Astyanax mexicanus: one gene and its partners. The protein of the gene in region 1 interacts with the protein of each later gene in a biochemical or structural test. Links are inferred from orthologs where the notes say so. Each region holds a gene or a part of one and is shown on either strand. Other genes may lie near its edges.

What was found.
Region 2: the proteins of hltf (region 1) and ube2v2 form a complex in vitro, tested with the Homo sapiens proteins (2 studies listed by BioGRID). The link is inferred for Astyanax mexicanus from reciprocal best matches to the Homo sapiens genes HLTF and UBE2V2.
Region 3: the proteins of hltf (region 1) and rad18 form a complex in vitro, tested with the Homo sapiens proteins (2 studies listed by BioGRID). The link is inferred for Astyanax mexicanus from reciprocal best matches to the Homo sapiens genes HLTF and RAD18.

The regions. Positions count from the first base shown.
Region 1 is NC_064425.1:42,843,221-42,854,304, reverse strand, and holds the start of hltf (helicase-like transcription factor), read left to right. Parts: upstream 1-5,776; 5' UTR 5,777-5,908; intron 5,909-7,350; 5' UTR 7,351-7,357; coding exon 7,358-7,537; intron 7,538-7,970; coding exon 7,971-8,137; intron 8,138-8,625; coding exon 8,626-8,756; intron 8,757-9,442; coding exon 9,443-9,528; intron 9,529-9,672; coding exon 9,673-9,744; intron 9,745-10,738; coding exon 10,739-10,930; intron 10,931-11,084. Other genes in the region: slc35g2a (solute carrier family 35 member G2a), read left to right, coding at 1,407-1,609, 2,085-3,144. UniProt on the Homo sapiens protein: Has both helicase and E3 ubiquitin ligase activities. Possesses intrinsic ATP-dependent nucleosome-remodeling activity; This activity may be required for transcriptional activation or repression of specific target promoters.
Region 2 is NC_064413.1:397,465-408,671, forward strand, and holds the start of ube2v2 (ubiquitin-conjugating enzyme E2 variant 2), read right to left. Parts: upstream 4,798-11,207; 5' UTR 4,666-4,797; coding exon 4,650-4,665; intron 1,157-4,649; coding exon 1,008-1,156; intron 802-1,007; coding exon 676-801; intron 1-675. Other genes in the region: DNA replication licensing factor MCM4, read right to left, coding at 6,610-6,702, 6,873-7,006, 7,858-8,086, 9,026-9,233, 9,695-9,822, 10,165-10,530, 11,174-11,207. UniProt on the Homo sapiens protein: Has no ubiquitin ligase activity on its own. The UBE2V2/UBE2N heterodimer catalyzes the synthesis of non-canonical poly-ubiquitin chains that are linked through 'Lys-63'. This type of poly-ubiquitination does not lead to protein degradation by the proteasome.
Region 3 is NC_064412.1:15,607,428-15,618,742, forward strand, and holds the start of rad18 (E3 ubiquitin-protein ligase RAD18), read right to left. Parts: upstream 4,753-11,315; 5' UTR 4,623-4,752; coding exon 4,572-4,622; intron 2,342-4,571; coding exon 2,263-2,341; intron 2,020-2,262; coding exon 1,958-2,019; intron 1,082-1,957; coding exon 1,011-1,081; intron 1-1,010. UniProt on the Homo sapiens protein: E3 ubiquitin-protein ligase involved in postreplication repair of UV-damaged DNA. Postreplication repair functions in gap-filling of a daughter strand on replication of damaged DNA.

The DNA of each region.
Region 1 (11,084 bases):
GGGGCAACCAGCCAGCCGTGAGTGTCCTCACCTGTTCTCGCGGCTCAGAGACGTGGTGGTCACGTGGCCGTACGCCACAGTGTTTGGCGTCACGGGCGTCCGTGAATCACCCGGGATGAATCACTGAAGATGATGAATGGAGTGGTATTAGCTCCTCCCCCTTTTCCTGCAAACTTCACTACAGGCCACAGGATAGGATGTCAAAGATCTGCATAATATCAAATGTCTGCGTAAGCCCCGCCCCTCGTCTCATAATTTGTTCTGACGTGATGTAACTATCTGCCTTAGCCACGCCTCTTTATATAGATACATTATTTTGATATAATGCAGCTATCTGCATTATCAACACCCCTTTAGTTGAGTACTTTATTCTGATATAATGCAGCTGTCTGTCTTAGCCACGCCCCTTTGTCTGTATTTTTTAATTCTGATATAATACAGGTAGGTATGTGCTACAGTCACGCCCCTTTCTCTGAGTACTGTATTCTGATGTAATGAGGCTATCTGTCTTAGCCACGCCTCTTTATCTAAATACTTTATGCTGATGTAATGCAGCTGTCTGTCTTAGCCACGCCCCATTATCTGTGTTTTTATTTCTGATATAATGCAGGTATGTGCTATAGTCACGCCCCTTTCTCTGAGTGCTTAAATCTGATATGATGCAGCTGTCGGGCTTAGCCACGCCTCTCACCTTGCATACTTTATTCTGATTCTGATATATCTTTATGCCTTAGCCACACCCCTTTCTCTGTGTTTTTAATTTTGATATAATGTAGGTATGTAGTATAGTCACGCCCCTTTCTCTGAGTATTGTATTGTGATGTAGTAAGGCTGTCTGTCTTAGACACTCCTGTCACCTTAAATGCTTTATTCTAATATAATGCAACTGTTAGCTTTAGCCACGCCTCTCACTTGGGGTACTTTGTTCTGACACAATGCAATTTTATACCTTAGCCACGCCCCCTTTTCTGAGTGCTTTATTCTGAGATGATGGACAATATGAGAAAATCCCAGCCTCTTTCCCCACCCACTTTATAGTGATATGGTGCTGATTTCCCTAAATCACGCCCACCATCACGCCTACCGTATTTTAATATGCTAAAACTATTTGCTTTGGCCACGCCTCCTACCCTGCACACTTTCTTCTGACATAATGCAACTGTATGTCTTAGACACGCCCTTTTCTCTGGTGCACTTATATATATATTAGGATATAAGATTGATATATTAATAGGATAGGACACTAAAAGAGTCACTTTTTTGATATAGTACTTTACTCAAGTCTAGAAAGCCTCTAGTGCTTTCTACATGTCTGAATACTTGTAGATATATAGACAGTGATAAGGTTCTGATGGTTCTGTTCGGTTCTGTGTGTTCTCTCAGCTCTCAGAGCCGGAGGAAGAGACATGGACGACTCTCCGAGTAAACACCTGCTCGGCCCGAAGAAGAAGGTGAAGATCCACCCCAACACGGTGACGGTGAAATATGCCACCCACTTCCCGCAGCCTGGAGAAGAGGGATACGATGACGCCCCGAGCTTCGAAGATTTCGGCTCCTTTGTAGAAGAGACCTCCGACCGGAAGAGGCTGACCTCTACTGGACCTCAGAGGTGTGTACACGCCACGCCCACAAACTGGGGTGGAGTTTAATTACTGTGTGGTAAACTGAAACACTGTTTCTTTGGTTCACGACAGCACAGTTTTACACCATAGCTTTTATTATTGCCAATATAGTCAGTAACTACTGCTTTTATCAGATAACTACACAGGTACAACAGTTTTTAACCGTTATAGGTTATAGGGGTGGAGCTAATTTTACATATATGATATAATTTATTGTTAACTTAATAGTTATCATAAGTTTGGATACATTAATGTATTGTTAAATTGCAAATTGGACTGCTTTTATTGTAGTTTGTATTATTGTATCACTATTGTTATTACTATTAGTAGAATTACTATTAACGTTGTTGTTACTGCTGTTACTAATAATATTATTACTATTATTGCTGTCATTATTACTGTTATTATGGTTATTGTTATTATTGTTGTTAATATAGTTATTATTGTTACTTTTATCCACAGTAAACTGGGCCGGACGTTTTTTGGCTCTGTGGACGGTCAGCCCAAACCCGGTGGGGATCAGAAGGTCAGCAGTGGGGTCGGAGGTCAGCTGCAGAGTTTCGGGGAGGCGTGTGTGTTCTCCTCGAGGCTAACGTGGGGGGCACTGTTCGTGGCGGCGTTGGCGCACGGCTGCGTGGCACTGCTGACCCGCCTGGCCGCTGACCGCTCTAGGGTTCCCTCGCTGGAGCTGCTCTTCATCCGCTCGGTCCTGCAGGTGCTGTCCGTCGCCGTGGTCTTCTACCACCAGGAGGAGCCGTTCGGGCCCAGTGGCTACCGGGTGCGGCTCTTCTTCTACGGCGTGTGTAACGTCATTTCCATTTCCTGCGCCTACACCTCCTTTGCCATCGTACCGCCGAGCAACGGCACCATCATGTGGCGTGCCACCACCACGGTGTTCAGTGCCGTGCTAGCGTTCCTGCTCACGGATGAGCGTCTGGGTGCAGTGGACATGGTCACCGTGGTCAGCAGCGTGTTCGGACTCTGCCTGGTCATGGTGCCCAACATCGTGAGCGAGGACCGGTCGCTCGGGTTCTGGAAGGAGGCGTTCGGGTACACCATGACGGTCATGGCAGGCCTGACCGCCGCTCTGTCTATGATCGTCTACAGGTCAATTAAGGAGAAGGTGAGCATGTGGACGGCTCTGTTCACTTTCGGCTGGACGGGGACGCTGTGGGGCGCCTGCACCATGTTCGTCCTGCAGGAGCCCATCATCCCTCTGGATGGGGAGACCTGGGCGTACCTCATCAGCATCTGTCTCTGCTCCACCGTGGCGTTCCTCGGGGTGTACTACGCCCTGAACCGCCTGCACCCTGCTCTGGTCAGCACCGTCCAGCACCTGGAGATTGTGGTGGCCGCTCTGCTGCAGCTGCTTGTCCTGCACATGGTGCCGTCCGTCTACGACATGGTCGGAGGCCTCGTCATCATCATAAGCGTTGTTGCGCTGGCGGCAGTGAAGCTGTTCTGGGTGGGGAAGAGTCGGAGGCAGGAGTACGAGGAGATCCTCGATTCGCCAATTAAATAATTGAGTTCAATTATTTATTTTCACTTTGTCTAAATGCCAAGTTGTAAACTAAAGACCAAAGCCCAATTAGAGCTGGATTAGATTCATACCGGGTTATTAGTGTCGGATTGTACAAACTACACACTACAGATTCATACTGGATTAATTTAATTTTCTATAGTTAAACTACACTACAGATTTATACTAAATAAATCAGTTTTCTGTTGGTTAACTGCACACTACAGATTCATACTGAATTATTTTTTTTGTCATAGGTAAACTACACACTGAAGCTTCATACTGGATAAAATCAGTTTTCCGTAGTTAAACTACACTACAGATTCATACTGGATTGAATCAGTTTTACATAGTTAAACTACACTACAGATTCATACTGGATTAAATAAGTTTTCCATAGTTAAACTACACTACAGATTTATACTGGATTAAATCTGTTTTTAACAGGTAAACTACACTCAACATATTCATACTAGATTTAAATCAGTTTACAGTTATTACTTAAACTACACACTGCTGAATCATACTAGATTAATAACAGATTACAGTTATTGTCAGAATTCGTACTGAATTAAAATTAGTTTACAAGTATTGCTGAAACTACACACTTCTGATTCATACTGGATTAAAATTGGTTTAGAATTTTACTGAAACTTCACACTGCAGATTCATATGGAATTAAAATGAGTTTTCATTTATAACTGAAAGAATAAGCACTGCAGATTCATAAAGGATCGAAATTGGTTTACAGTTAGTAGTAAAAATTCACACCAAAGATTCATACTGGATTAAAGTCAGTTTATGATTATTACTATTATTTGCATTATAACTACACACTGCAGGATTAAATGGATTAAAATCGAAAGAATAAATACTGGATTAAAATTACATTACAGTTAGTAGTATAATTGCACACAGCAGATTCATACTGGATGAAATGTCTGATTAAGGGTAATCCGATCCAGCTCTAGTAGGGTTTATGGAGGGTGTGGGGGGGTGTGGGGTGGGGTGGGGGGGTAGTCGGTGTAGTTTAGTGGTAGTTTGTGTACCATTGTGTTTATCTAGTGTTTTGTGTAATTCAATTTTAAATGAATCCTAATTACTTTATTTGATGATTGTTTATTGATTATTGATTTCAGTTGTATTAATTGTTCTGAATAGTTTTTTTGAAACTCTGTAAAAAAAGTGTTCAGATCTCAATCACCTGACCCACTGTTCCGCTGACCCGTCAGTGACCCTTGTTTACTTGTTCATGATCATTAACCACTAAGTGTCATTGAGAAATCTTAATTGTACAGAATAAACAGGTGATCTATCAGAAACTCCGCCTCCTGGTCCAGAACCCATTCAGAACTCCAGCACAGGTGGTGGCAGTGTGTGTGCAGTGGGGTGAGGGCGCCCCCTGCTGGTGGTTGTTGCTAAAGTGTATGTGTGTTTGTTATTTTAAGAATAAAACAATAATAAAATAATATTCTATATATTTGTGTTTGATTAAATTAAAGAAAATTAAATTAAATTAAAAGTTAAAGTTAAAATTAAAGTTACATCAGTTCCTGTGTGCTACATTTTCAACTGTCTCTATAAAACATTCTGAATTTTAGACAGACATTCAGAAATGTGGAGATTTCCTATTTAAAACAAAATTACAGAGTACAAAATTAGAAGAAAAAAACAGTGACCACTAAAATTAACCCTAGAGGATGCCCACTGAGTGCTGCATTGTTACTCGTTACAATTATAAAAATGTTAGGAATCATTCCAAACCCACATTTTCACTGAAGCCAGAGTAGAAGATGATCTACACTGGCACACTGGCACACGGTTTGTTAAATGTTAAATACTTTAGTACTCCCACTTAAGTGTGCAGCTTAATTCATTTTACTTTTATTTAAATCAGGGTCTCTAGTGTTTTATATATATCTGCTGACTGGTTGGTGAGTTTAAAAGTTTTATAACTGGAGTTTAAAAGCTTTTAAAATTATGTCTACAATGATAAAACCTACTTGTTCTGTGTTAAGGAAATGAGTAAAGTTTTAAGTGTAAAAAGGATTAAACATTCATAAACTTAAAGGGGCACTAAACCTCTGATTTAAAAAAGGACAAAAAATGGGCAAAGTTTGGGAGAGGCACTGGGTGATGTATGGGTTTAGAGGCTGGGCAGGAGGAGGAGCTGATTTGCTGAGCTGCACTTCTGATGGCGGTGAGACGCAGATGGTTGGACGTCAGCAGGGGGGGCGGTAATATTGATTCATTAATTTGCCTATTGTGATGTGTCTGCATACCAAAATACATGGAATCATCATCCACGCCTATAGCACAGTTGAACCTGAGGGGGCGATTCAGAAGCGAAAATGACCGTAATAAAAGCGTTGTTTAAAGGTAAGAAAATGTTTTAATTTTTTTTTAAGCAGGACTGGTATGTTTCATTTTTTTTTCAAATGAACACATTTCAACTATTAATGGAAAACAATATGGTTTAGGGTTTATTGGCTTTTTAATTGCCCCATTTAAACCTATTCGTTTTGTAGTCAGTGAGGGGGGAGCCCTCTGGTGCACTAACACACTCTAAATGCACCGCCGCTCCGACCAGCAGGGGGCGCTGCACGCGCTCACACACTCGCACCACCACACAGCGCGCGCCCCGCTGCAGATCAACTGCAGAGCAACTCCGCGCGCGCTAAAAACCTGACAACAGGAACCAGAAGTAACCAACGGTAATCGGAGTCCGGAGCGACCCGGCCGAGCTGCAGGTAAACCTGCCGGACAGGTGAGTGCGCGGGCACGCGTACACCTGTTCTAGTTACTTAGTAAATACAGCGCCCGTGCGCGTGAGTGTAGCATCCTGACACAAGAGAACGTTAAATAAACGTGAGGGTAATGTTTTGGTCGCATTAGCTAACTTAACATACATCTTTTTATGTTGACAAAGAAAAAACAAACTTAAAAACTAACTTATAACTTATAATTTAACATTAGTGTTATTAAAGTCGCTTATTGTTAAAACTCTAACATTGAATAAAAGTTTATTTAAATGTTTTAAATGGCTGGAGCTCTGAAACTACACTAACAGCAGGTCAATGTTGTTAAGAGAAAGGTGCTCCCCACAATTAACGTTAATCTAGCTAATAAACTATTATTATCATTTAAATGTCTTTTTTTTACACTGCAACTGTAAACTGCCAGCTATAAAATTAGAATAAAACGATATATACTGTACATATACAGAACCAGTATTACAAAAGTTTTGACACACCTCTTCTCAATTAATGTGTTTTCTTTTTGTTTTTTTTTGTTTTTTTTACATTGTACATTTAACAATTAAAGACTATATTAAAGCTATACTGGATAATATTCAGACTTTTTCTGTAAATAAAAAATTGTTAAACAAAACAGAATATGTTTTATACTTTAGATTCTTCTAAATAAGTTGCACATTTATCTTTGAGGACAGATCTGCACACTTTTAGTATTTTAATCTCAGTGTCTTCATGAGAAAGAGTCACTTGGAATAGCTTTCTCAGTTTCTTGAAGGAAGGAGTTCCTGGATGTGCTGAACAATAGTTTCTGCTTTTCCTTCATGCTGTGAAGCTTCAGCTCATCCCAAATCACCTCAAATCACCATCTCAGTTCATCTTAGTTCATCAGGTTTAGATCAGGGGATTAATGTGGAGGACAAATACTTTTTGTTTACTATGTAATTCCCATAAAAGGGCTCAAAAAATGGGAGGAGTAGTTTGGGAGGGGCACTGGGTGATGTATGGGTTTAGGGGCGGACAGGAGGGAGAGCTGATTACACTGTGTGTATAAACAGTGTTTTTAATAAACTATCTGTGCACTACTACAATAATAGTTGGCAACAGCAATGAATAAATAATTTTTCAGTTGTGCGCTAAATTCATATAGGGTGTGTGTGTGTGTTTCTGTGCTGGCCAGGGTTCAAAATAGTTGTTGACAAATAGTTTAATAATGGTATGTGTATGTGACACAGTGATGGCATAAAACACATTATTACCATTTATTGAACTAGAGGCACATCATAATAATTGCATAATATTGCATGGTGCACCATAGCAAGCACTGAATCACTTTTTATTTTCCTCAAAGAAGGGCAGCCACTATGGCACTCTTTAAAACCTTGAGTAGTGTGGGTTTTGTGCATTGTCAGCATCTTTATGTTTTGTTTGTGTGGGTTCTGTGTTGTGTTCTCAGCTCCAGCATGCGTGGTTTGGGGAGTAGGAGGTTTGGGGGTGTGTCTCACTCTGATCTGCAGGAGGAGGAGCCCTCCCAGAGCAGCTCCACCTCTGAGTCCACCCATGATCAGGACGCGGAGGAGGAGAACCGGTGCTTTGGAACCTTTCAGGGAACCATAGTGGGTCTGAGGTACTACACCGGAACGGTATGAGCCATCATACGTACACTGATAAAAAAAAAATATATAATAAACAAATAATAATAATAATAATAATAATAATAGTTAACATATATATTTTTTAATCATTATTACTTTGTATTGTTTCACTTCAAAGCAATACTTTAAAGTTAATTGTATTGTTATTATTTATTTTGGTTTAGCAAAGCCATGTTTATAGATACATAATCAAGTCTATTAGAGATTACTGAACATCTCTTTATTTGGACATGCAGTTAGCTCCAGTGCTAATTGTTGGCGCATTAGCTTCCATAGCCTAAAATATTTACTATATTAGCTTATTTTTAGCTACAGCGCTAACTGTGGTATGAGCTGCTATTGTTTGTAAGCTATATTATATTTATAGCTCCAGTTCTGTAGAGTAGGTGGGTATGCTTGATTCATAACTTCTGTTCTGCAGGTGAATAGAGGTGAGATGGTGGCTCTGGTGAGGCAACCGCAGAACCCGTACGATCGGAACGCGGTGATGGTGGCTAACGTGTATGGCAGTCAGGTGGGACACATAAAAAAGGAGCTGGCAGCGGCGCTGGCCTTCATAATGGACCGTAATCTGGCCCGAGTGGAAGGGTAGGACATTGTTTAGATCATTGCCATTCTGCTACACGGTACTGACCCATTTATAAGCATCTTCAGCAAGAAAGCATCCCCTTGTGGGGATTAAACACATTGCAAAATATGGGGAAAAGTATTGAAAAAAGTGTTCATTCACGGTTTCTTGTGAAATCAAGGGTTTAAAAAGAGTTTATCTTGCTTTTGTTGGAGGAACTGTCTTTACTGTCCAGAGAAGGCTTTCTATTAGATTTTAGTAAAACAGAGTATCTGTGAGTATTTGATTGCATTGACTGACAAGTGCGTCAAGTCAACCTGTTGCCTTTTTTGTTTGCCTAAATAAATAAATAAAAATAAAATAAATAAAAATAATTAACAGACAGAGAAAGTAAGAGAGAAGAGAAAGTGCTTATTCATGCTGCACATGCTTTTGTTGAGAAGTTAAGGTTCAGTTTAATAATGAGGGCATAAAGCTGTGGTTCTCAGCTCTGCTGTTGTTTTCTCAGGGTGGTTCCTTATGGAAAGACAAATTCATTCACCATGACTGTAACCCTAACATTCTGGGGTAGAGAGGAGAACCAGGAGGCGGTACACTCTCAGATGAAAAATCACGGATACAAACTCAACGCTGTGAAAGGTAAGCTCAGCCCACCTCAGCTCCTCTATTAGATAGAAATCTGGAAAACATCTGGGACAGATTTTTAACTTCCGTACCTGGATTTACCACCTGTAGGCTCTATTAATATATTTAAGCTGCACTATATGTCTAAATGTTTGTTCTAGACTTCTAATGAATGCTGCATTCAGCTATAATTAAGTTGCACCCATTTTACGCACAGATGTGCAGATGCACACACACACACAGATAAACAAACATGAGCCTATTAGCACCATGCCTTATGTCAACCTTAGGCTAACGCAGCTAGCGGTGCATAAAGCTAGGTTAGCTAACTACGGACAAAGTTCACATGAACAAACAATAAAACAATAAAAACACCGCAAACATATTCATTAGCTGAATAACTTACAAAGTATGACTCATCGTTTGCTTGCCATGGTAGAAATTATCGAACTCGTCTTGCGCTGGATTGTGTAGATTTAGCCTTCTCAACTTGGCAACCCGAGTGAGCTTCGCGTCTGGGGAAGGGTGGGTGGGGCAGACAACTGTCTGTGGTGTTTTAAAATCGGACTGCTGTAGCTATTTCACACGCTCACTCTCATTTTCTACTAAAATCTTTTTAAATACATTAATTTTTTGAAGAAGCAATGAATAAGCAAGTGATCCAATACTTTGGGGAAACTCATGGGAACTGTGTTTTATAGGGAGCTCATCGGCGGCATCCTGGGATCGCTATGGAGGGGCTGGATCATCCTCAGAGATTTGCCCTGTGATTTTAACACAGGAGGAGGTAACATGAATGGGCGGGGCTAAGCAGCTAGAATTTCTAGAATTTCCCCTTGGGAATCAATAAACTATCTATCTAGCTGTAGACTGATTAATTGATGGGGCTAAACTCATGAATGTGTAATGGAGTGCTTCCTCTTTTTAACAGCTGAAGAATGCATTTGATAAGCTGTTTGATGACTTGTTGGAGGACAGAACCCGAGAGATGGAGGCCGCAGAGGTAAACGCCTTTTTTACCTCACTGTATCTCACTCTTTACATCACTACCTCACTGTATCTCACTCTTTACATCACTACCTCACTGTATCTCACTCTACCTCACTGTATCTCACTCTTTACATCACTCTACCTCACTATATCTCACTCTTTACATCACTCTACCTCACTGTATCTCACTCTGCCTCACTCTACCATGCTCTACCTCACCATATCTCACTCTACTTCACTGTATCTCACTCCGCCTCACTCTACCATGCTCTACCTCACTGTAGCTAACTCTATTTCTCTTTACATCACTCTACCTCACTGTATCTCACTCTACCTCACTCTGCCTCACTCTACCATGCTCTACCTTCCCATATCTCACTCTACTTCACTGTATCTCACTCTGCCTCACTCTACCATGCTCTACCTTCCCATATCTCACTCTACTTCACTGTATCTCACTCTGCCTCACTCTACCATGCTCTACCTCACCATATCTCACTCTACTTCACTGTATCTCACTCCGCCTCACTCTACCATGCTCTACCTCACTGTAGCTAACTCTATTTCTCTTTACATCACTCTACCTCACTGTATCTCACTCCTCCTCACTCTGCCTCACTCTACCATGCTCTACCTTCCCATATCTCACTCTACCTCACTGTATCTCACTCTGCCTCACTCTACCATTCTCTACCTCATCATATCTCACTCTACCTCACTCTGCCTCACTCTACCATGCTCTACCTCACTGTACCTCACTCTACTTCCAGCTTAGTCATGTCATGTATTGCAGTCTGCAGTGTGAAAAGCTCCCTCTGTTGCTACATGTGGGCAATGCATTTTGAGTTATTCACAGTGCCATTGCAACTTTTTGATGTGCTTATTGTGAAAACTTATATCACAATAGCAATAAACATAAGAGAACTATCTTACAGCTTTTATCCAAATAAAGTACTAAAATGTGTTTGTGTGTGTGTGTGTGTGTGTGTGTATGTGTGTGTGTTCAGGCTGTGAGGACCCCTCTTCTCCTCCACCAAAAGCAGGCACTGTACTGGATGACGTCCCGGGAGAACAGTTCAGATCTGCCTCCGTTCTGGGAGCAGAGGAGTGGGCTGTACTTTAATGTTCTGACCAATTTCGGTGCCAGGGAGTCACCAGAGAGCGTCCTTGGGGGGATTCTGGCGGATGATATGGGACTGGTGGGCTTATACACCGCCTTACACCAACTCCCCCATCCACCTCTTAACCTAAACCCAATCAGCTAAGACACCTTAAATATCCTACTCTGTAACTTTGGCAAGTAAGTTGGGCCATTCAGAATGTAAATACTACACTTTTTAAGGTGGAATGGCA
Region 2 (11,207 bases), on another chromosome or scaffold:
ATGCCTTCTAGAAGTCTGCCACAACAGTCCCTGGAGGAAGATTTTCTGGACTCAAAAAACCTTTATGAATTATTTATGGTGAAGGTGGGAAGAGTTTCTGTGCTCTCTCTCTCTCTCCAAAGCTGCAGTTACATTTTAGTTTGCACTGAACGTATTTTTTAAATGGGTAAAACTTCATTCATAATAACTGAATTAATACAGAGAATGATCTTTGGGAAAACTCTTGGTAAATTATGTGTAAACCACATTAATTACACACATTGCAGTTATTCACATCTATAGCTCACTTAAAAATGACGAGTTTCTTTGATTCATCAAATTCAAAACGTTATCCAAGAGTTATCCAAAAGCAGTGTGTAAGACTGGTGGAGGAGAACATGATGCCAAGATGCATAAAAAAAACTGTGATTAAAAACCAGGATTATTCCCCCAAATATTGATTTCTGACTCTTAAAACTTCATGAATATTAACTTGTTTTCTTTGCATTATTTGAGGTCTGAAAGCTCTGCATCTTTTTGCAAATATTCAAGCAGTTCAGTTTGGTGGTTTGATGGCTTGTGATCATCCATCTTTCTCTTAATTATAGGTTTTCAATTGGGTAAAATGAAAGAAATTCATAATTAAGTGTTCTCATTTTTTTCCAGAGCTGTAAATATAATCTGAAGAGTACTCACCATCCCATTGGAATTATTTATTCCATTCATGCTAATTTTTGTTACAAATCTAACAGTTGGTGGTAATTCAGGATATTTAGGTCCACACTCCACTTTCAGGCTGTATATCCTGTTTTCATAATTAGTCTGAAAAACAAACATGAAAACAATTTAAAGCATGGAAAACCATTGATAATTGTGCAATAGAGATTGTGATAATCTTAACATAGCAAAACATTGCTAATGGTGTTTTTCTGGTCCATAATCACAGAATTAAAGCAAATAACTTTAGTGCATTGATTAATAAAAACTCAAATGGACAATTTTCTCAAGTTTACAAAGTCAAGTCTTACTCGCGCAGGTCCAATGATCATTCCTGTCCACCGTGTTAAAGTCATGTCCTCATCATCTTCCAGACCCCAGCTTACTGTGCCATCACCAACACCCTTCTGTCCCTCTTCCAGCTCCTCCAACAAACGAAAATTGCGTGGAACTTTAACTCCTATACAATAAAAACAAGCAACAAACACTGCAATAACACTGATAATTATCCATATAATTAACTGAATATTAAAGATGTTTATAATGGGCAGTGAATCCTCTGTACTGGTGGAAAAGTTGTATGTTGCTGAAATCGTTGCAAATTTATGCAATAAGTCAGTATCCTATAGAAATGGTTCTCAAACTGTGGTACATGAAGCGCCGCACAGTTGTATGGCAAATAATCTGCTGTATGAACTAAAATATTAAGTACATATTATAGTTTTTATATCATAATATTTTACTGTATTTAGTGTTACTTACTGTAGAACCCTGTGGGACTCCACAAGATGTACTAACCAAACCAGTTACCAACTAATTCACTATAGTTTCTGAATCAGGATGAATAGCTAAATATTGCAAAAGCAGACAAGATCCACAAAACTAGCGAAGAACTACAAGCTTAAGAGAAGACCTGATGTGTTTAAGCGTGTGGCACATGTTTTTGCAAATACCTTACATGTGGTGCAAATCTTTTGTATACTCATACTCATGAGTAGGAGCATTTTAGTCTTTGCCATGTTTGTAAAATTAAATAAAATACCTGCTGAACTGGTGAGATTAACTGTATAAAGCTGCAGGAGAATAACAGAAATCATAGGTCAATTACTCCAACTCATCTGGACCACACTAATCAATAGTAATGCCTCAAACACTAGGAGCTTGACAGAGATGTATGGACAGGACAGAGAGATAGAGCTCTTTGGGAGGGTTCCAAATAATAGAGGGGAGAAAATAAATAAATATAAAAAGGAGCAACATTAAAAGCCTAAAAGAAAATCCAGCAGATGAGGTATTGCATGTAATTATTGCATTGTTTAATACTGTTGCACATAATCTGGTTTATTTTATTTTCACTCTACTGCTCCATCCCATCCTCTGTCAACCCTCCTTGTACAGTCTGATGGTTTGAGGGAGAAAGGAGTTTTTAAATCTGTTGTTTCTGCATTTGTGAAGGAGAAGTCGGACACTGAACAGACTCCTCTGGTTGCTGATGACTGTGTGCAGATGATGACTGGCAGATTGCAGAGTAATGACTAGGGGTGGGAGGAATTGTTGATTCTTGGATTTATCTCGATTCAGACATGGTCGATTCTGAATCGATTCACAAATTCTAAAAATTGATTCAGACCTGCCAACATGTACGCATTCTGAAAAACAGGTGCACGTTTTTACCATGTTCTAAAGTGAATATATCGTATGATCTCGCATTTCCCTCGTTCTGTCCCACATTTGTTTGTTGATCGTGGGTGTTTGAGCTGTCGCGTTGTTTATCCACAATGATAAAGCTACATATGGAGCCATCCCCTACTTTCCTCCACGCTTCATTTTTCTCCAAACTGTCGAAACAGCATCGCTGTTCTGAAGACTCTCTCTTGCACATACACTGTCTTTAGTTTATTTCCTCCATTAAATCTCCCAATTAACTCAAAACAATATTCTCAATTAAAAAGTATCACTTCCCTGATACATTACAATACATTACATACTTTATTTATACGCATTAAACACGGATCAGCTACAACAATAACACAAGCTTTGTAAATATATTACACTGGTCCTGGTCAGCCACAACATTATAAATCACCTTTTTTGTATCTGTTTGTTTCCTTGTAGCTGGTTTTAGCATTAAAAAAATTAATCCTAGATTTCTTTAGTAACTAAAAATAGTGTCAAAGAGCCGATTCATTAAATAGCAGACTCACTATGCATATGTCAAGACTTTTAAAACCTTCTAGTGAATGCTTGGTATAGCTTAAATCTTAGATCAGATTACTCATTTTAAAACATGTCTGGAATGCAATCGCTCTGGTTTTAGTATCTGTTAAAACAGTCAGTTTGAATGGAAAGTGCCCTTCCCAGCCTTTCTGAGTGAGCTGCAAACTAATGCCTAGTGCGCTGTCAAACACTGGAACCATGTTCCAACAATGCTGAAACTTAAACTTTTTTTGCACCATGCATCTTTACTGCAGTTCATGGAACATGTAATTAACGTCTTTATTCTTATCATGATTACATTCTTAATAAATTATAGGGCAAGTTTAACAAAACATGGAGAGCCATGTCATCAGCTGGTGTTGGTCCACTGTGTTTTATTATCAAGTCAGTGCAGTTTTGTTTCCCCTCCCCACAAAATCTTACAGCACTAAATGCTTCCCTCTGCTGACAACTTTTAAAGAGATGCGGATTTCATTTTCCAGCAGGACTTGGCACACTGCCCATACTGCCAAAAGTACCAATTTATCTTATATAATATTCTAATTTTCTGAGACAGATTTTGGGGTCTTCATGTAATACGCCTATACAATATAAGAGAGACATTTTAAACTGAATTACAGAAATAAATTAACTTTACAATAATAGTCTTATTGTTTGAGATGCGCTAGTATAATTTATTATAAATGTTTTGTACTTAAAAAAACATTATATATTAACTATACGTTGTATTACTCGCATGTTGAGTGCAGCAGGTATTGAGGTAAGTTATTGTTTTTCTATTTACTTAACTAACCTAGCTATAACAAAAATAAAACGTGTGTTGCTCCGGAAAATGGAACTATTTTATATTGCGCGGATTTTTATCCTATTAATCTATTCTGGCCCTCAAATTTCCTCACAGGTTAGCTGATTAGCCATCAGGCTAACGAGAATTCCCCAGTCAGGAGTTAACGCTAGCTAAAGTTAGCCCCACTGTTTAACCTGCTTCTCCGGTTTGTCGGGGCTGCAGAGGCGCGGGGTGAAATGAAGAGCCAGAAAACATTAGCGCTGTAACATTATACCGTAATAAAATATATCGAGAAAACTAAAACACCGCGTTAGTTTAGAAAGTCAGTCAGTCAGTTACTCAGTTAACGTTAAGTGGTTAGCTAGCTAGCGTAGTTAGCCTACAGTGTTGACTGCTACCAGCCCAACACACAGAGCTAAGCTAGCTGTTAGCTAAGCTATGTGCGTTATTTCAGCTAGCAGGCTAAGCTAAGCTAAAGTTACCTCAGGTCTTTAGCTAGCCTCTATAGCTTGTTTTTAGCGCGGTGTTTAGCACCGCAGTCCGGGCCGCGTGCTGAAACCCTACGCACTCTGATTCTCCTGCGTGTTTTTATTGATTTTATATTTATCGAATATTATTTAACACATACACAAACTAGATAAAGAGAGATAAGAGACACCGCCGGTTAAAACACCCCGAAAAATCAGCCCAGCTAACGCTAGCTAACCGTACCGCGGCCGGAGCGGAGCTCCCAGCCCCGCTCCCATTCACTCCGATAACTGTATCAGACAGCCGGAGCCACACCGCTCAGAGACCCGGGTACAGCAGCAGGAACAGCGGGAACCCGGCCGCCCCGGGAGCGCCCAGCACACCGGGGCACGTACAGAACATTCCCCTCGTTTACCCCAGCGCAGCCCCGCCGCAAACCCATCCAAACCCCCGCGCCTGTTTCCCATATTGTGAGACAAACCTGAGGAGGCCGCCATCTTCTCCAGCCAAATCCAGAAGCGCACGATATCGTGACGTCATATCACTTGACCAAAACGTCACCACCACTGCACTGAGGAGCGCGCGCAGTCCCGCAACAGCACAAGGTAACCCCCCCCCCAGCTGTTTTACAGGTGACGTTATACAGATACAATAGATGTCATTTTCTATCATATATCATTTTTTGAGGCGTATACTCTGCTTATGTAAATTAATAAAGATTTTCAAATTGTGATTAATTTCAATAACCCATCTTGGTTAAATTAGAATTACACAAAAAAGTATCTAGACAAAGGCTGAGAATATAATATTCAAAAGTGGAATTAGGAATAAGCGAGAATACAAATATGATCATTAAATTAAAATATGAAGAAAAGTTGATTGTTCAAAAGAAAAAAGTAAAACAAATAAAAAAAATCTGGGGAGGCAACGCCCCCCTCAGCCTCCCTCTAGAACCGGCCCTGACTGTACTTAAGTATATATAGTATAGTATACTATAAGTACTATATAGTCATATTCTCCTGAGCTTCAGTGCAAAAATACTTTACCTGTACTACTCTACTTAAATACCAAAATACTGTATATGCACTACTGTACTTAAGTATGCATAGTACAAGTACTATATAGTACTAGAAAGTTCTGTACTACTGAGCTTAATGCCAAAATGCTGTATCTGTATCTACTGGAGTATTTTTTTAACCTAACTACTGTACTCTACTGTAGTATTTTTCTTTCAATATTTCAGCACAACAAAATACTTATATCCAATGAATGTGTGTAAATTTGTAAATTGTGAGGATCTTAATACTTAAGATCATTATATTTAATAACAGACTTATCAAGGGCTTTATTATTGTGAAATAAGTTGTGCTGGTTTATGAATCAAATGAGTTTTAATTCATTTAATGGAACATAAAAAGATGTGGGAAAACAGAGACTGTGTGGTATTAGTATGTTCCCTTATCTGCAAACATCAGTTTTTACAGTTATGTAAATATATAGATAATCAAACAAAGCACATAACACTTTACCTTAATAAGACTGAGTAAATCATACTATTAAAAGGTTGAGTTTCACAAAAAACCCTTTTGCTCTATTCAGACCAGAGGATCTTTTTCTATCCCTTAACAGAACTTTTTAAAAAATGTATTTTTAATTAAAACATATTTTAAATACATTGCATTAATAATGTTTGAATCATGTTTTATTTATGCTTTTTTATTTCTATTCTTGTTAGATCATTTTAAATTTGACTATTTTCTAATTTGTAAAGCAATTTGAATGATCGTTGTGTTTGAAAGGTGCAACATAAATAAACTCCTGGCTTTTTAACACCGTACTAGCCTTCTATATGCAGCACATCACCTCTATACATTTATGCTCACACCTTTCATTATATACTGAAGCAAACATTATAATTTGCACAATAAAATGTGAATAGCATAATGCTATTTTCTGCAATTACAAAGCAAACTTTTCCATTGCTTCTGTTCTCTAAGTGTTTAAGAATGGAATGATTTTTTAAAAATGTAGATAGAATTAAAACTAATACTCATTTACAAAGACTATCTTCTATCTGCTTCATTTGCTAACAGTAACCTCTTAAAAGGTACAGAGGATATTTTTTTACATTTTTTAAACTCAAGCCTATAGAAAAAGTGTAAACTGCACATTGCACAAAAAATATAAATATACAAGGAGAAAAGAAAAACAAAAAGTAAGAAATTCTCCTATAACCCTCTTTAGCTTTGTCTAATTTTGGAACGGAACGCACAAGGCGAAAGGCTATGAACAGCAAATACAACATTTTTTATTGCAAACAGTAACATGACTTCATACAAAATCAACAATTAAATGCACAACAGGAAGACAAAAAAAATACATCAGTTTTCAAGACAATAGAGTTCGTAAAGATCTTTAATTAATCCAACTTCTGGGTATATTTACAGCAGACGCACAGTCTTTCCTGTGACTGTTAGGTAGTCCTCATCAGCGAGCGCTCGGAGTGCTTCATCAAACATGTCCTTGGTGATGGCCTGGAGAGAAATCAATCAGTATTCATCACCACACTGGTGCAACACGTTTTTTTTTACTAAGTCTGTAGTCATTCATCATGAGAATTTTGACATTCTGCACGTAAAGATTAGAGTTATCCTAAGTTAAATATTTAGAAATAATGAAATTAAAAACAGCAGAATATGCTTACAGCCTCTGATTGGCCACGTAGGTCATCGAACAGCTGCTGGTACTTCATGGCTGGAGTCTTGCCCTTCGACTGGATGAGTTTCTTCAGGGCTTGCGCCACTTCCTCTTTACGCTTTCTTGCGGTGGCGCTCATACCTACGTACAAAAACAGAAATGCACAAAAACATTAACGAAACAGCATTCTAATACAGAAAACTCTCAGCTAAGACCTATCTGGATGGGATTACTTTCTCAAGGGGTTCTGGGTTATTTTCTCTATGTTTTTTTTTTTTTATCCTCTGTGATTTTATTCCTGTCCAGAACGATCATGTAGGTGTTTTTCTCAGACGTCCTCTGAGTAAATTACAGGCTGAATTATCTACTGTTTTTGTCTGAACTCCGTGCTCCTCCGGTAATTTTAGTCCCGTCCGGACGCACATCTCTGAGTTTCGTCTCCTCGCCTTTAATAAAATAGATATTTGTCCACTGCTGTGCACTGTAATTACACTTTGGGTGCGCCACGGTTTCCATGGAGATCCACGTTATAAAACACAACAGCAAGTGGAAATGGAGGAGCTACTGAACTGAACTGAAAAATTGAAGCCTAAAAACTCACTGATTCTCCTGTTTTTTCAATTGCAGTCCAGATGCAGGAGTTTTATCACCGACTAGAAGAGTGAAATATTTAACATACGTCCCCCTGAGAAACGGTTTCCTGATGGTTGCCTAATGGATAACTCTGCTTCACGACTGCTGAAGGTTCATATTTTGCCGGCTGCAGGAATAACGAACCTGGCTGGCTGGTTACTGTCAGCAACTACTGGGAGCCCCCTTGAGGGGGATTCTGATAAGTGTTTCTGAGGGCCCTACAGGCAATTGATTTGTTTGCTTGCCTTGTTGCATCGGGGCTGCTCTGCTCGTTATTTTACCCTGTTATTGCTCAGCATGTTCTGATTAACTGTGCAGATCATGAGTTTCCCACTGTATCTCAGTGTAAAACCACATACCTGTGGTGAGGATGGAAATATCCACGAAGCCTGTTCTGGGATCAGTGGCGGACTGCTTCAGGGCCTCTCTGTGGAGTCTCTTGGCCTCCTCCACGTCGATGGTCTCCACTTTGTCTGAGAAGCGGACTTTAGCGTGGGCTTCAGCCAGACGGATCAAGGACTCCAGCTGTCGAGGGTAAGCAGACACCATGCCTCTTCCACTGCCGATCTTCCTCATGTCCACGTACGCCTGCAGGAAACACAGTTACAGGCATTAACCTCTTAACTCCCATGTTTTAAATAACTCTCACTTTTGGCTCCAATTAAATTTAATTTCGTAATTCTGAGAACCAGACGGTTTGAATGATGTATAACATGCCCACACTGGATAAAATATGGACATACAAATGCCAATTATGAATGTAATTTTTAATAAAACTTTAGCTAAAAAGGTATTTTTTTACCCAATATATTTATTTTCCAAAAGGCAATACAGCTAAATTGGCTAAATATCTAAAAAGCAGAGATTCTAAGCTTTCATGGCATATTGGGTATCTATACTGAGCCTATAATTATTCCAAAAAGTAGTGCATCCAAAACATCTAAGCGACCTCTCCTACACCATGTGCATCCTGAGTAGGGCTGAGTGATATGCCCCTAAAATAATATATGATGTTTGAGTGTTTTTGCAATAACAATATTTTGGTGATATGACAACACATTTAATAAATTTTAAATACATTTCAAAAGTGTATGTATGCAACAAATGTAACTTAAAATGTTTCTTAAAAAGAAACTTAAGACTTGTAAAATGTATAAAAACCAAAAACGTCTATTAAAGTGCAGCACATTTTTGTGCCTACATATAAATTGTAAAAGTACAATAAAAAGTACGATGGAGTTTTTTTTTTTGTCAAAAAGTTTTATCAGATGTTATTTCATTAGGACAATAAGAATATTAAAAAAACGTTAAAAAACGTTTCAAGGCATTTAGAAGAGATTGCTGATGTTCATATTTTGCCGGCTGCAGGAATGACTAACCCGGCTGGCTGCTACTGTCAGCAACTAGTTGGTTTGATTAGTGATTGGTTTGCTTGCCTTGTTGTAACGGGCCTGAACAAACGGTTCAAAATTAGCTGTAGGAACAGGAAAGGAGACTTTATTTACTGCTGACTCGTTTGGTTCATACCTCAATAAGTGCTTGACTTGCTTCTTCACTGAGTCTTGGGTTGATGTAGGTACGAGCATAGGCGATGTAGTCCTTCAGAACAGCCATGTCCAGATACTCCTCCACTATCTGCTCCTCGCTCTGGTAGTACAGCGCAACCAGGTGGTGGGCGAGCCGCCGGTCATACGCCTCGTCCTGAGGGTCCAGCATCAGGAAGATCAGATCAAACCTGAACGAGAGAAACAGAGGTATTGGTAAATGTTTATCAAGTTTTTTTTTTATGCATTAAGTAAATGACATGCAATTAGTTAAAAGTATAGAAAATAGTACATTTTATAATTCATGTACTAAATATATATTAGATTAAGACATCAGATTTTATACACAATGCCACTACTGTCAATAGAATCAAATCAAATTGAGCCATAAGGCTTGTCATATAAATGTAGTCAAAGATGTTGTCCTGCTCCCAACACAACTGATTTAACTAATCAGATTATAATCATGCCCATTCAGAATTACAAGAGGTGTATTAAAGTAGGGAGTCCTCTAAAATGTGCAGAACAAGGTGCATCCATAGCAGAGTTTAAAAAATGCGCAAGCAGTATATTATAAAAAAAAAAAAAAAATAAAAGACATTTTTCATGTATAATTCCTCAATCCAATCTTCAAAACAAACTACTGTATTACCTGGAGAGCAGTGTGTGGGGGAGCTGAATATTCTCAATTGTAGTTTTCTTCGGGTTCCACTGAGACTCCACCGGATTGGCTGCTGCTAGAATAGAGGTCCGTGCATTCAGCTGACAAATGATCCCAGCCTAAACCACATTAAATAAAGCACAATTTAACATGTGACTAACAGTACAATCAATTTCTCTACCTGAAATAAACTCTTTTTATATTGACTTCCATTGAAATTTTACAAGTTTTTTCTCTCTCTTGTAAAGTTGCTGTTTTGGCAAAGTGTTTTTTTATTGGACAGCAACGATATAAAAGTGAAAAAAAAAAAAAAAAAAAAAAAAGCCATATTAAGCTAAAATCACTTCAGCCTGGTAATGTGAACGTAGCTATATGGACCAGTTGAACCCCCCTGCTCTCGAGCGATAAAGAACGCCGAATAATCCTAAAGAGCTACAGGATCTGAGGAACGGGGGTCTTGCCTTGGCGATGGAGAGGGTCTGCTGCTCCATGACCTCGTGCAGTACAGACCGGGTGCTGTCGCTCATCTTGTCGAACTCGTCGATGCAGCAGATTCCGTTGTCGCTGAGAACCAGAGCGCCGGTCTGCAGCACCAGCTGCCGAGTCTCGGGGTCCTTCATCACGTAGGCGGTGAGACCCACGGCGCTGGAGCCTTTACCAGAAGTGTACTGTCCTCGCGGCACCAGGTTAAACACGTACTGGAGCAGCTGGGACTTACTGGTTCCGGGGTCTCCGCACAGCAGGATGTTCACCTCGGCCCTGAAGTTTCCTCGACCCGTCTGGCTGAAGTCTTTCCGCGTGCCGCCGAATAACTGCAGCAGGATTCCCTAAAACACAGAACAGGCAACGTTTTAATTCAGTAAATAAAAGTTCAACTTAATTTCCAGTGTTTATCAGGGGTGGGAATTCAGATTCAGAGTCTGCGATGCGATTATAAAACAATTATGAATAATAATCATCTTAATGCGTATATTTTTCTTCTTTACTATGTTTCTTTTTTTTTTTCTTGTTGCTTGACTTCTTGGTATTTTTAACCTCCTAGGACCTGGCGTCCACATGTGTGGACAACACATTTTGGGTTGTCTAGACCACACAACACTAAATTTTGCTCTACAAGGGCCTGGTGTCCACATATGAGGCCATTATACTGTCACCTAGTGGTGGCAGAGGAGTTGAACACGTTACAGTTTCAATTTTGTTCAGAAATTAAAATTAACAGTAAATACATAATTTTTGTTTTGCTCAAAGGGGCATATTGCTCAATTGTTGTTTCTACTTTTTGTTTTGCACTGTGTTTAGGCACAAAATAAATGTTTTGCACACTATTATAAGAAAAATAAAGTCTAACAGTTCCTTCACTTGAGTTACTCAAATTTGCTCATAAGTTAAATCCTGAATTCTATTTGTTTAATAAGCATAAAACGAATAACCTCCTTACTGATCATAAATAAGTAAATAAATAAATCGGACCTTTTTGATATCCTCGTGTTCGTAGATGCTGGGC
Region 3 (11,315 bases), on another chromosome or scaffold:
CCACTAAATTATGCCCTCAGCCACCAGACAATACACTGAGAAGATTGATGACCGCCAGTGACACTGACTCAAAAACTAATGATGCTGTGGATTAAAAGCTACTGATCTCTCCAATCACACACAATCTGGACCTTTTATAGCCTTTTCCAAGAACTCTGGGTATTTTTACTCAGCAGACTCTGCTTTCTAGATTACCTTTCATAACCAGACATCTATGATACAGTCCTCTTATTACAAAGGTGAATCCACAGGTTTGTGACAGAGCTTAATTTTAGTCTCAGTGTAAGACTCTGCAAAGCTGGAAATGAAGCATGTCTAAAAGCTTTGTGACCACACTTGAAGCAGGTGAAGAAAACGACTGAAACAGATGCACTTAATGAAAACCAAATCCCCGTGTTTTATACAAGGAAATTCCCAATTCTATGGCAGACAAAAATATTAGGTCAACTGGAAGAAAATGTTAAGCCACTCATGATCGAGCAAATAAAAGGAAAGGATTCAATAAAATATTTCATTTAAACTATGATCCTATAAATTGCTTTGACTCCTGAAAGGCTTATGTCAATCGGCACAAACTCAGAATAACCTTTGTTTTACAACCTTTGTCTCCTTTTGGATTTATTGGCAGATCAATCTATCATGCTTGCTTATAACAGCCTGTCTCCACTGAAACATCTCGAGGCTACTAAAAAGAATGACACGAAAAGGGACCTTTCTGGATATGGTTCCGTAACCTCTGCTCTACAGTAAACCACTCAACTACATATTGCTGAGTCATTTATTAAAACTAACAAAGATATCCCAAATAGCAAAGAAAAGCATTTTAAATTGTTTAATTGTTAATTAAATACAATAACTACTTTACAACTGACTTTATCACAGATTTTTAATATAGTCACATTTAAATTATAAAGCAAGAACTGACACTTTTTTGAGACTTTACTTCTTCACATAATGACAACTAAAGTTACATATCTACTGTTTCTTTCTATTACAAATATCATAGTTACCTTGCAGACAGAAAACTTTGGACAACTTCATCCAAAATCCGATTATTCCTCAGATCTTGCTCTGTCATTGGCTGAAATGAGAGTAGATGTCATTGCATCATTATAAAATCCATATTTTACAATATATAGTTTGGTCAGAAGTTTACATACACTCATTATCAACATGAATGTCATACAATATTAGGATTTCTGAACTAATGCACAATATACATCTTTAAAATAATCAGAATAAAAAAAACATACATACACAATTAAACACAAATTCAATTGTCAATTAAATTTCTGTTAGTTATCATTTTATCTACATGAAAAAGTATAGCAAAAAATGATCCAAACAATCATCATCAGCAGAGAGGAAATTTGTTCAGATGGTCCGGAACCAGGTGCTAAATAATTTTACCTAATTACAGTACAAACGCTAATTTTTGCTGCACAAACCAGCACAAATGGGAAAAAAAATAATTTGTTTCTGATGATATGGGGGCCAGCTTCAATGAGGTCAATTAAGGGAAACAAATGGAATTATGTAGGAAACATAAGTGTTTGTCCTCCCCAATCCCCTGACCTGAACCTGGGTGATTTGGGATTGGGTGGAGCGTCACAGCGTAAAGGAAAGCAGCAACTTTTGTTCAGCACCTTTAGAAACTCCTTCAAGAGGCTGAGAAAACTATTCCAGGTGACCCCCCCTCATGTAAGCAAATCTGTCCTCAAAGCTAAATGTGGTACTTAGAAGAATCTACATTTTAAAACATATTCTGGTGTGTTTAACACTTTCTGTATACAAAAAAAAATCCCATGTGTGTTCCTGTAGAGCTTTAGTGCACACTTAAAAAAAAAAATCTTACAGTTCAATATTGCCATTATATTTAAAGTTAGTGATGAGTGTATTACCAAACAACACGTGCATTAGCCAATGATGTAAAACGCACAATAAACGTTAGACTTACTGTGTTGCAGACTGGACACAATAATTTGTAAGATAAAAACTTCCGTATACACAGCGAACAAACTGCAAAGAGACCCAACACAAACATCCATTATTTACTCATGTGTTTTGATGTTAATTAGCTACATATTTTGTGACAATAAGATAATATGAGGCGAATGAATGCAAAAGCACACATGACAGTGACAATGCTGAAGAGCTTATTAGGTACCGTAATAAAAAGTTTTTTTTTTTTTCCAAACATAGTTAACTGTTACTTCTCTTAATACAACATACATATTACCAAAAACAACAAAAAATACTTACAGTTATGTGAACACTGCGACATCATGGATATGTTCAAGAAGTCAAAGCAAATGGGACATCGAAGAAGGGTGTCTATAGGCTGTCAAAGCAAATAATGAAAACGAGTTAACGCTAGGTAGCTTACATATAATCACTGTAAGTCATTGAGCTAGGTAAATATAATTTATTTATAAAGCACTTTTATAAGACAGAGCCACATAGTGCCTTACAATAAAGCAATTTAAACCAAAAATAAAAAATTAAAATCTAATGAAATACAACACGTCCAAACAAAATAGTAAAGGTTGTGTTTAAAATCTCGTTATGTCCTATTTGTAGCGAGCTTGGAGTGGAGCGAGTCTGGGATGCCAAAACTCAATGCTGATAAAGAGAGGTGCCTACTTGATGACCCCTATAAAGGGCTTGTGGCATAGTGGATGATGAGTGTTTTTGTGATTTGTGATGGGATGGTTAGGTATTTCATGTTTGTGTCATATGTTGCTGATCAAATAATCAGCCACAGCAACCTAGCTGTTCGGTGTCTGGACTTCAGGTTTGGATTAAATGTTGCTGATCTGATTGTAAACGGCAACAGCAAACTAACGGTTAGGTGTCCGGTCTTCAGGTTTGGGTTAAATGTTGCTGATCTGATCATAAACGGCCACAGCAATCTAGCTGTTCGGTGTCTGATCTTCAGGTTTGGATTAAATGTTGCTGATCGGATCATAAACAGCCACAGTAACCTAAGTTAGCAGTTCGGTGTCTGATCTTCAGGTTTGGATTAAATGTTGCTGATCGAATCATAAACAGCCACAGTAACCTAGCTGTTACGTGTCAGATCTTCGTATTTGAGTAAAACGTTGCCAATCAAAGCCTAAACAGCCACATCAAGCTAGTTGTTCGGTGTCTTGTCTTCAGGTTTGGTTTAAATGTTGCTGATTGGATCATAAACTCAAAAATGACCACAGCAAACTAGCTGTTTGGTGTCTGTTCTTCAGGTTTGGGTTAAATGTTGCTGATCTAAACATAAATAGCCTCAGCAACCTGTTAGGGGTCTGGCCTTCAGGGTTGGAATAATTGTTGCTGATTGGTAGGGGTGTGCCATATCGTAGCGTGCGTGATAATTGCGCCAAAAATTTTGAATACCGTGAACGATATTATCCCCTGAAATATCGCGCCATATCACCCACCCCTAATTATCACATCAGAGAACTACTTTTTTTGTAGTTTTTAGCAAACGAAAAATTCACACTGTTCTCATTTCCCATTATATATCTACTAGAGACAGATTATATCTTTTCAGTATCATTTATCTTACTTTAATCCTGGATATATGGAGATATTAGGAGTGCATCACTAGTATCATGACATTCTGCATCATTGACTTCTGTTACAAATCTGATAAAATTCTTTTTTCTTTTTCTCAGTTAGCCATATCATATTGCATGCAAAAATAAAATTCTAAATAATTTTTCTAATTCAGTGTTTTGTCATATCGCCAAATGTATCGATATTGTGAAAATACCATGAAATATTGTGATATTATTTTAGAGCCATATCGCCCACCCCTACTGATTGGATCATAAACACATAAATGACCACATCAACCTTGTTGTTAAGTGAAGGAGGTTACCGTACTAGTGTCGTAGGTAATAGTGGGTTAGTGAAAAAAGTAGAGTATAGGGGAGAGTGTATGTATGCGTGTGTGTAACCCCATATGTAAATTGCAGGATTTATCATTTTTCTGCATTATGCTAATAGAGGAAATACAACACATCCAAACAGAATACTAAAGCCACCTTATTCGTGATCACACTCAAAAGCCAAATAATAAGAGTAGATTTTTAAACGTTTTTTGATTTAGTGAGTCTTTAGCGAGACGCAGTGTCAGTAAGCCTACGTAATTAGCTAACCTAGCTAACTAACTAATTAGCAGCTAAGTTAATGCCAAATGTCTCTTCAGAGCATCAGGCAAGTGACAGGTAACGCTAACCTTACGATAAACAAACGATACACACAGGAGCTAACAAAGGGCAGCGTAAGATCCGACCCAACTAACCTAGCTAGCTAACCAGATAAACCCCCAGCTTACTAGCTAGCTAACTAGTCTTCAATACTGGCAAAAGTATAAATCCCACTGGCCACTGGTCTTTATAGTTAATTCAGCTATGGTCACACAGATCACACAGCCTGAATTCAGCACTATATGTAGCTAAACTTACTGACAATCCCACTGTCAGTTTAACTTAGCTAACGTTAGCCAGCTAACCTAATGCGGGCTTCACAGCCAAAATAAGTGACTTATCAAAGCGTTTATTAGCAGAACTTACTTTCAGGCACGCCAGGTTCGGCGGTAAATCCGCCTCATTTGAGTTAGACATGATTAACCGAGCGAAAATGAATCAGTCGGTTTTTCTGAGCTCTTTCCTGAAGGTAAACACAGTCCTGCTGCTAACAGCTGAGCTGCACGGCCAGAGAAAAAACCCGCGCGCACTTTTACCGGCACATCCTACTCCGACGTCACTTCCATTCATGCTTTGAGGCAGAAGATTCAAACTCGGCTCTCGCATTGATTCAGTTCAGCGAACCGATTCATTTAACCATACGTCGGGTTCAACTTTGATTCATTAGAGTCGGTTCGGGCAGTGAGTCTGATATGGGCCAATTCTGCTGCACTGGCTCTAGTGTAAAGGAATTTTAGCTAGACAATAAATGCATAAAGCATACATATATAAACATATACAGCCTAGCAGTGATTGATTTGTACTTTGAAGCTTTTCAATTTGATTTGAATCCCACCACTTTTTTTTTTCTTTTTTTTTGTATTATTTTAGTAGGATTTAAAAAGACTACAGAAACGTGACAATCATTATATAAAATAATATTCTTTGCGTAATAAATTCTTACAGTTAAAAATAGCTTAAAATCGGACAAAACAAATAGAACTGTTGTGTTGAAGGTTCATAAATGGGCTTTAAAAATGTATTTCGTAGTTTTGTATGTTTAATGCAACAATGCAACCGCACTTACTTTTGTATTTGTCCCTCTGCAGCACTCGTAGCTCCAGTGGTGTATAGGTGCGTAAAATGCGGGAGGTAAGCAGAGCAGTGAAGCTTCCTGAATAAGCAGCGTTGTAAAAGGATTAATGTACTTTTTTGACAAGCTAATTGAAATAATTGTTTTCATATCAGTTTTAGTCACCCCTCTGTGTATTTTTAGCGGATATTGGTGCGTATAGAATTATTTCTGGCCCGGTTCGGTTTCCAGCGTTGGGCTGCAGCAGTTTTGGCGCCAATTGTAATCTTCAGGTTGTAGTGTGAGCCTGAAAATGTATCAATAATGTCCCATGTTTTCTTGTGTTTTTTACTCTTAGAGAAGCATATGCAGTTTCCTAAGCATAATAATCACCAAAGGGATTGTCTGTGTGTATGTGCAGGTATGTTGTAGTTGTGCTTATAATCTGTTTTACATCATTTTTAATCAGGAAATATATATCTTAGCTATTGTAAGTGTAAGAATTTATTTTATAAATTAACTAAAATAAAAAAGCAGCAACTAATTCAAATAATTAGTCTGTTTTTTTTTAGTTGCTACAGGACTGACAGCTGTTCTAACCAATCAAAGCTTTTTAAAATGGCTTAGCGAACTATCATGGAATTGCGGCTGCAAAGAGACAGATATTGTGTCACATCATATTAAAAAGCCTTGGTTGCCCTTCAATGTGAAACTAATTCACAATAATAGGCCAGACTGGTGAGTTTTTGTGTGTACCTAATGTTTTGGCTGCCCTGGCGTACTGTAGACATACAAATGAGTGATCTTTGTTGAACGGTTGTACTTGTAGGCAAATTAAGCATTTATTGTTGGGTCTGTTGTACACTTTTGTCAATTCTAGCTGTATTTGTGGGCTGATGATATGTATTAAGTTAATATAGCTAAGCCAAGAGAGAGAATATGAAGTTATTGTAATATTTATCTATGTGTCGGTCGGCCGGCGGCGGGGTGGAGGGTATGGGGAGTGGTTGCAGAAGGGGTACCCACTATATTCACTGCACGCCACTGATGTATGTATGTATGTATAAAATAATAACTTACTTATCAAGGTGTCTGAAATGAAAATAATTACTCTAGTAAAGTGTAGATAACCAAATTTCCAATGCAAGTTAGGTAACAAAGTATTTAATACTATTTGTTAATAAATGTTATTTTTTTTTATGCAGAAATTTGAGTGTATCCTCTCAGCTGTTCTAAAAACTACTAAAATACTGTCATTTGCACCACTAGCATGGAAAACCAAACATTCACTATACTGGTAAAAATGTGATATTTGTTAATGAGTTTATTTGTCCCCTTCACACCAACACAAGTTGGTTTGATTGTCCAAAGAAAGTTTGACATTGAGGTTGTGTGCCTTCAGGTCTGAACTGCAGCATTATTAAAGCATAATGGCACTGTTTTATAACTTATTCTAGCATTAATATGATGATATAATAATTATTTGGGTGGCCTATAAACCTCTACTTGACTCATTACATCAGAGACTGGACCTTGGCTGCTGTATACTTGTACTTCTGCTTGAATTGAACTGATTCAGAGGGATTTCTTAAGATTGCCTAGATATCTGTCTGTACAAACAGACCTTGCAGGCAAACTTTTAATAATAGCTATTCTTTAAAAGCACTGTAACACTCTCTATGCTGGTAAATATTAGTATACATTGTACACTGTGCAACACACAGGACACATCGCTTGAATAGTGATTCCAATTAAATGGGCTGGACTTTAAATTGTTTGGAGAAAAAAGGGGGTTTTAGACAGACTTTGAGTGGAAGAAATCAACCGAGGCATTGAAGAGAAATGATCCGTTAAACAATAGATACTGATTTTGCATGTAACGCATGGATAAAAGAGAGGAGGGTGAGCCAACCAAGATAATAACAGACCAGGAACTCGTGCAAAGACTTGTCAACACACTCAAAGAGAAGCAGAGCTTTTAGATACAGTTTAAATAAACAGGAAGTGTAATACAGAAAGAAGGCAATTTTATTGTCATGATCATCGATTTGTTTTGTTCTGAACAAGTGGAGACATCCAGTTTCTTGGTAGTCCTATTTTCCCAAGCAAAAGAGTATCTGTATTGTACTGAAAGGGTCTTTTTTTTCAGTTGTGACACTAGTGGAGCTGTTTTGGTGTTTAAAGGTGCCCTAGAATGGAAGACTGTGTACAGTATGCTATGCTATGCTAGGTAATGCAATGTTACATGGTTGCTGTAATCTATTGGAGTAATGTTAAACAGGCAATAAGAATAATCAAAAACTAGTTTTGTGTTTATATACCCATAGACCACTGAAGTTGTATCATTATTTTGTAGCCAGTGCCATGCTGCTAATGCCCATATTTGGCACTGCCTCAGATGTCCAGCCTCAGATTTCGATGGCCTATTATTATTTTTTTATATGAATTTTATATGAACATCACAGAATCCTTTTAATTCCAAAATTATTTAAGATTATTTAAGATGCTACTGTGAATTTACACTAATGAACCAGTGATCTCAAATGACTCTTAAATGTTCAGATTCAGAATGTGATTTTTTTAAACCCCCCTTCATTCCACCATTAACAATAGGAAACAATACACAAAGCAAATCACTGTTTCATTCTAAGACACAATAATGGGGTTGTAAAAAGGTTTGTAAAATCATATCTGAGCATCGCTTACCTTTACTAAATCAAATAAAAAAAAATCTTAAGTGTATTCTGTGGTCTATTTAATAGAAAGTGTATAGGATATTATTTATAATTAATCTACTAAAGGTTTTCATCATATTTATGAAGAACCATTTAACCAGCTAAAGAACCATTTTAGCTTCTATATTGAACCATTGCCTCACCTGAAATAAAGTGTACTTTAAAAGTGAACTTTTAAGTGTTTATGTACCATATTTGCTGCATGGACCCCAGCAAGCAGTGGCTCAATTTTTGTTTTGCTCTTTTACTTGCGGGATGAATGGGACAGTTGCTGTATTCATTATGAATGTGGAAATAGAATTTTCCATTCACAACTCTATAAGTCTCTCATAATGATCTTTTTTTTCAGTAGTCCTGCATTGATATGGTTATTTAAGCAGTTAAAAAGACTGTCTCTGCTATTGGAAGGATTATGTGGGCTAAACAGCTTCGGTGATTAAAACACAGCTCAGTGAATACGATTCAGTCTCACATTCCCCAATTCCCACACCGCCAACAAGGCAGAACGCGCGGCGTTCTTTCTTAAACATCCGTGAAATTGATTTAAAAATCCCTGCCTGCCTTTGAACGAACATACTCTGCTCCGTGCATGTGCTGATCTAAGAAACAAATATATATTTATATATCTGTGCTTCTGTGCACATTTACAGGAGGTGAGATTCGGGCTAAATATCACATAAAGAAATCAGTTCTGTTCATTTTGTTTTCCCGGTGAGACTGCAGTCAGCTGACAGCTGTGCATTTGAATGAGTGGACCTGACTACAGATCACTCTGTGTACATATAATCAGTCAGTGGAACAGACCTCCAGTCGAGTGTTTATTTTAATAGCCTTTAGCCACTGAACAAGGCAGGATGCATTTTAATACGGACAAGGTGATCAGTCAAAAACGGACCGCTGGATAACCTTCGTCTCAAAGCAAAGCTGCATTAAATCTGCAAAGCTTTGTCACTATATCTCCTTCATGCAGCAGCTCCCACGGTGCCCACGAATAAAGAAGTGTCCATAAAGCTTATGAAGAATGTAATTAAATCAATTTGCATATTCATCAGCCTTATTCATAAATCCAGAGCCGCACTTTTTTTGTGGAGGGAAGTTGCGCTGACCTAAGTACTGCTATTGATCCGAGTTATGAAAAATGGGCACAATTTTTAAATGGTTCTTTTTTTCTGAACACTTGAATAATCCTTTGTTGAGTGTGCAGTCGTGGTGTCTGTGCCATTATGTAACTACATTTTTCTTTCAGCTGCAGATATAGACAACAAAGACATTCTACTGGACTGTGTTTCAGCTTCTTCTCCATTCAACTAAATGGGTAAGTTACTGAAAATAATTTTGCCATAGCATTTCACTTTAAAATAGCAGAAATAAATAGGAAATAAAAATCATAACTTTATTAAGGTGAAAATCCAGAAATGTTACTCTTTTACATTAGTTCACATGTTTCTTCTTTTATTTTTAGTGAGTTTTAGTAAGTTTCTGTATCTGTCAGGTTGTAAAAAGCCTGTGTACTGCTTGCCCTTTAAGGCTTATTTATACTCAGCATTAAATATGCATACAAATAAAGACAGAGCGTCTGTCTTTTAAAAGTTTATGGAAACAGACAGTACTGGAAATCATAACCAACAGTTTTAAGTGAAACCCAACCACTGCCTTATGGAGAGGACAAAGACTAAACTTATAGTGGATATTTTAAAGAATTTACACCACTGCCTCTTTTATCAGTTTTGTTGCAGTACAGTGAACTACCAGAGAAAATTGAAAATACTTCCACTTAAAAATATGTTCCAGGTTTATTATATACTAGAATGTGCTCACAAATAGAAAGTGCTTTCAAAATATATGGGTTTATATGAAGCAATAGACCTTTTAAAGCATTAATAGCAGGGTTAATCGGTTCTAATACACCTCTGAGGCTACTACCCATTTCTACATAAACCGATAATTAAATTAAACTCTCACCAGAGTTTATGTTCCATCAGGATTAAACTGTTCATCTCCAGATGAAAAGCTCTGCTTCCAGTGTTTGCTCAGGTTCAGTTTAAAATTAAATAAAAAATAAAACCGTTATTAAAAACACTAAACTCAAGATCAGCATTAATTTATTTAGCATTAATTCAGATTATTATCAGTGAGGACAGTCAGCAGAGTGTGTTGATAAGTAGTTTAATGTTAATATACCAAAATGTTTGACTGAGTGAGGAACATGATACCTTTTTTCTCCTCCAGATTGAAGCTCAGTAGCCGTTATTATTTTATTCTGCTTTTTTTAAAACTCGTCCGCCATCTGAATGCAGATGTGGAAGACAAGTGCTCTGTTAAACAGTGCAGACAGACGTACGATAATGTTACTGTTCAGAGCCAGATGTGACGACGCTAGGGGTGTGCCATATCATATCGTACGCCAAACTTTTTGAAACTTTTTGATCATGCCATATCATCCACCCCTAATTATCACACCAGGGTACTAATTTTTTGCTGTTTTTAGCAAAAGAAAAATTCACACGGTTCCCAGTTCCCATTATTAGATTATTTCTGTGCAGTATCATTTATTTTACTTTAGTCCTAGATATTTGGAGATATTTGGAGTGCGTTATTTTTGCAATAATACATTTTATTTTCATTTTGCTGCAGTAGTGTATTCTTAAATTATATTTTTATTTTTTATTGTTTTGTCATTTTGCCAAGAATATCATTATCGCAAAAATACCATAAAATATGGTGATGTTATTTTAGGGCCAAATCGCTCACCAGTAGATGTAGTATATTGTGCAAAATGTTTGATAAAGTTTATACTGAAATGTTCTCATTTCATTAAAACAGAACAGAATCATGTTCAGTTCTGTAAATAAAGAGGAAACGTTAGGGGTGGCTCACAGTGAAAATTACCTGACTGTAGGAGAAGCTCAGGAGCAAGCAATTCCACTTTTCCTATAATGCTGCTTTAAATAATATGTGGGAAAGCAAAAGCATATGTTACCTATTAAAAAGTGTCCAGACCACTAAAACCATTGTAATTTGACCTGGTGATTGCACTGGAGCTGAGACATGAGGAGATGGAAAATCTGCTCACATGGAAAACACACTTGGCTTCCAAACCACCGTCCAGCCTGTGAAAAATTAGTGTAAAGAGAAATGATGGATACTGAAGAGTGTAAATGGTCATGACCTAATCAATACAAACCATTGAAAGAGGGTCTGTTGTCTGTAGCTGCTGATTCAGCTGAAACTGAGAGATCTTCACATTTGTACACTACCCCACTAATCAATATCATAGGGGGTCTCTACATGTTTAGTAGATATACCTCATAGTTCTAATAGGAA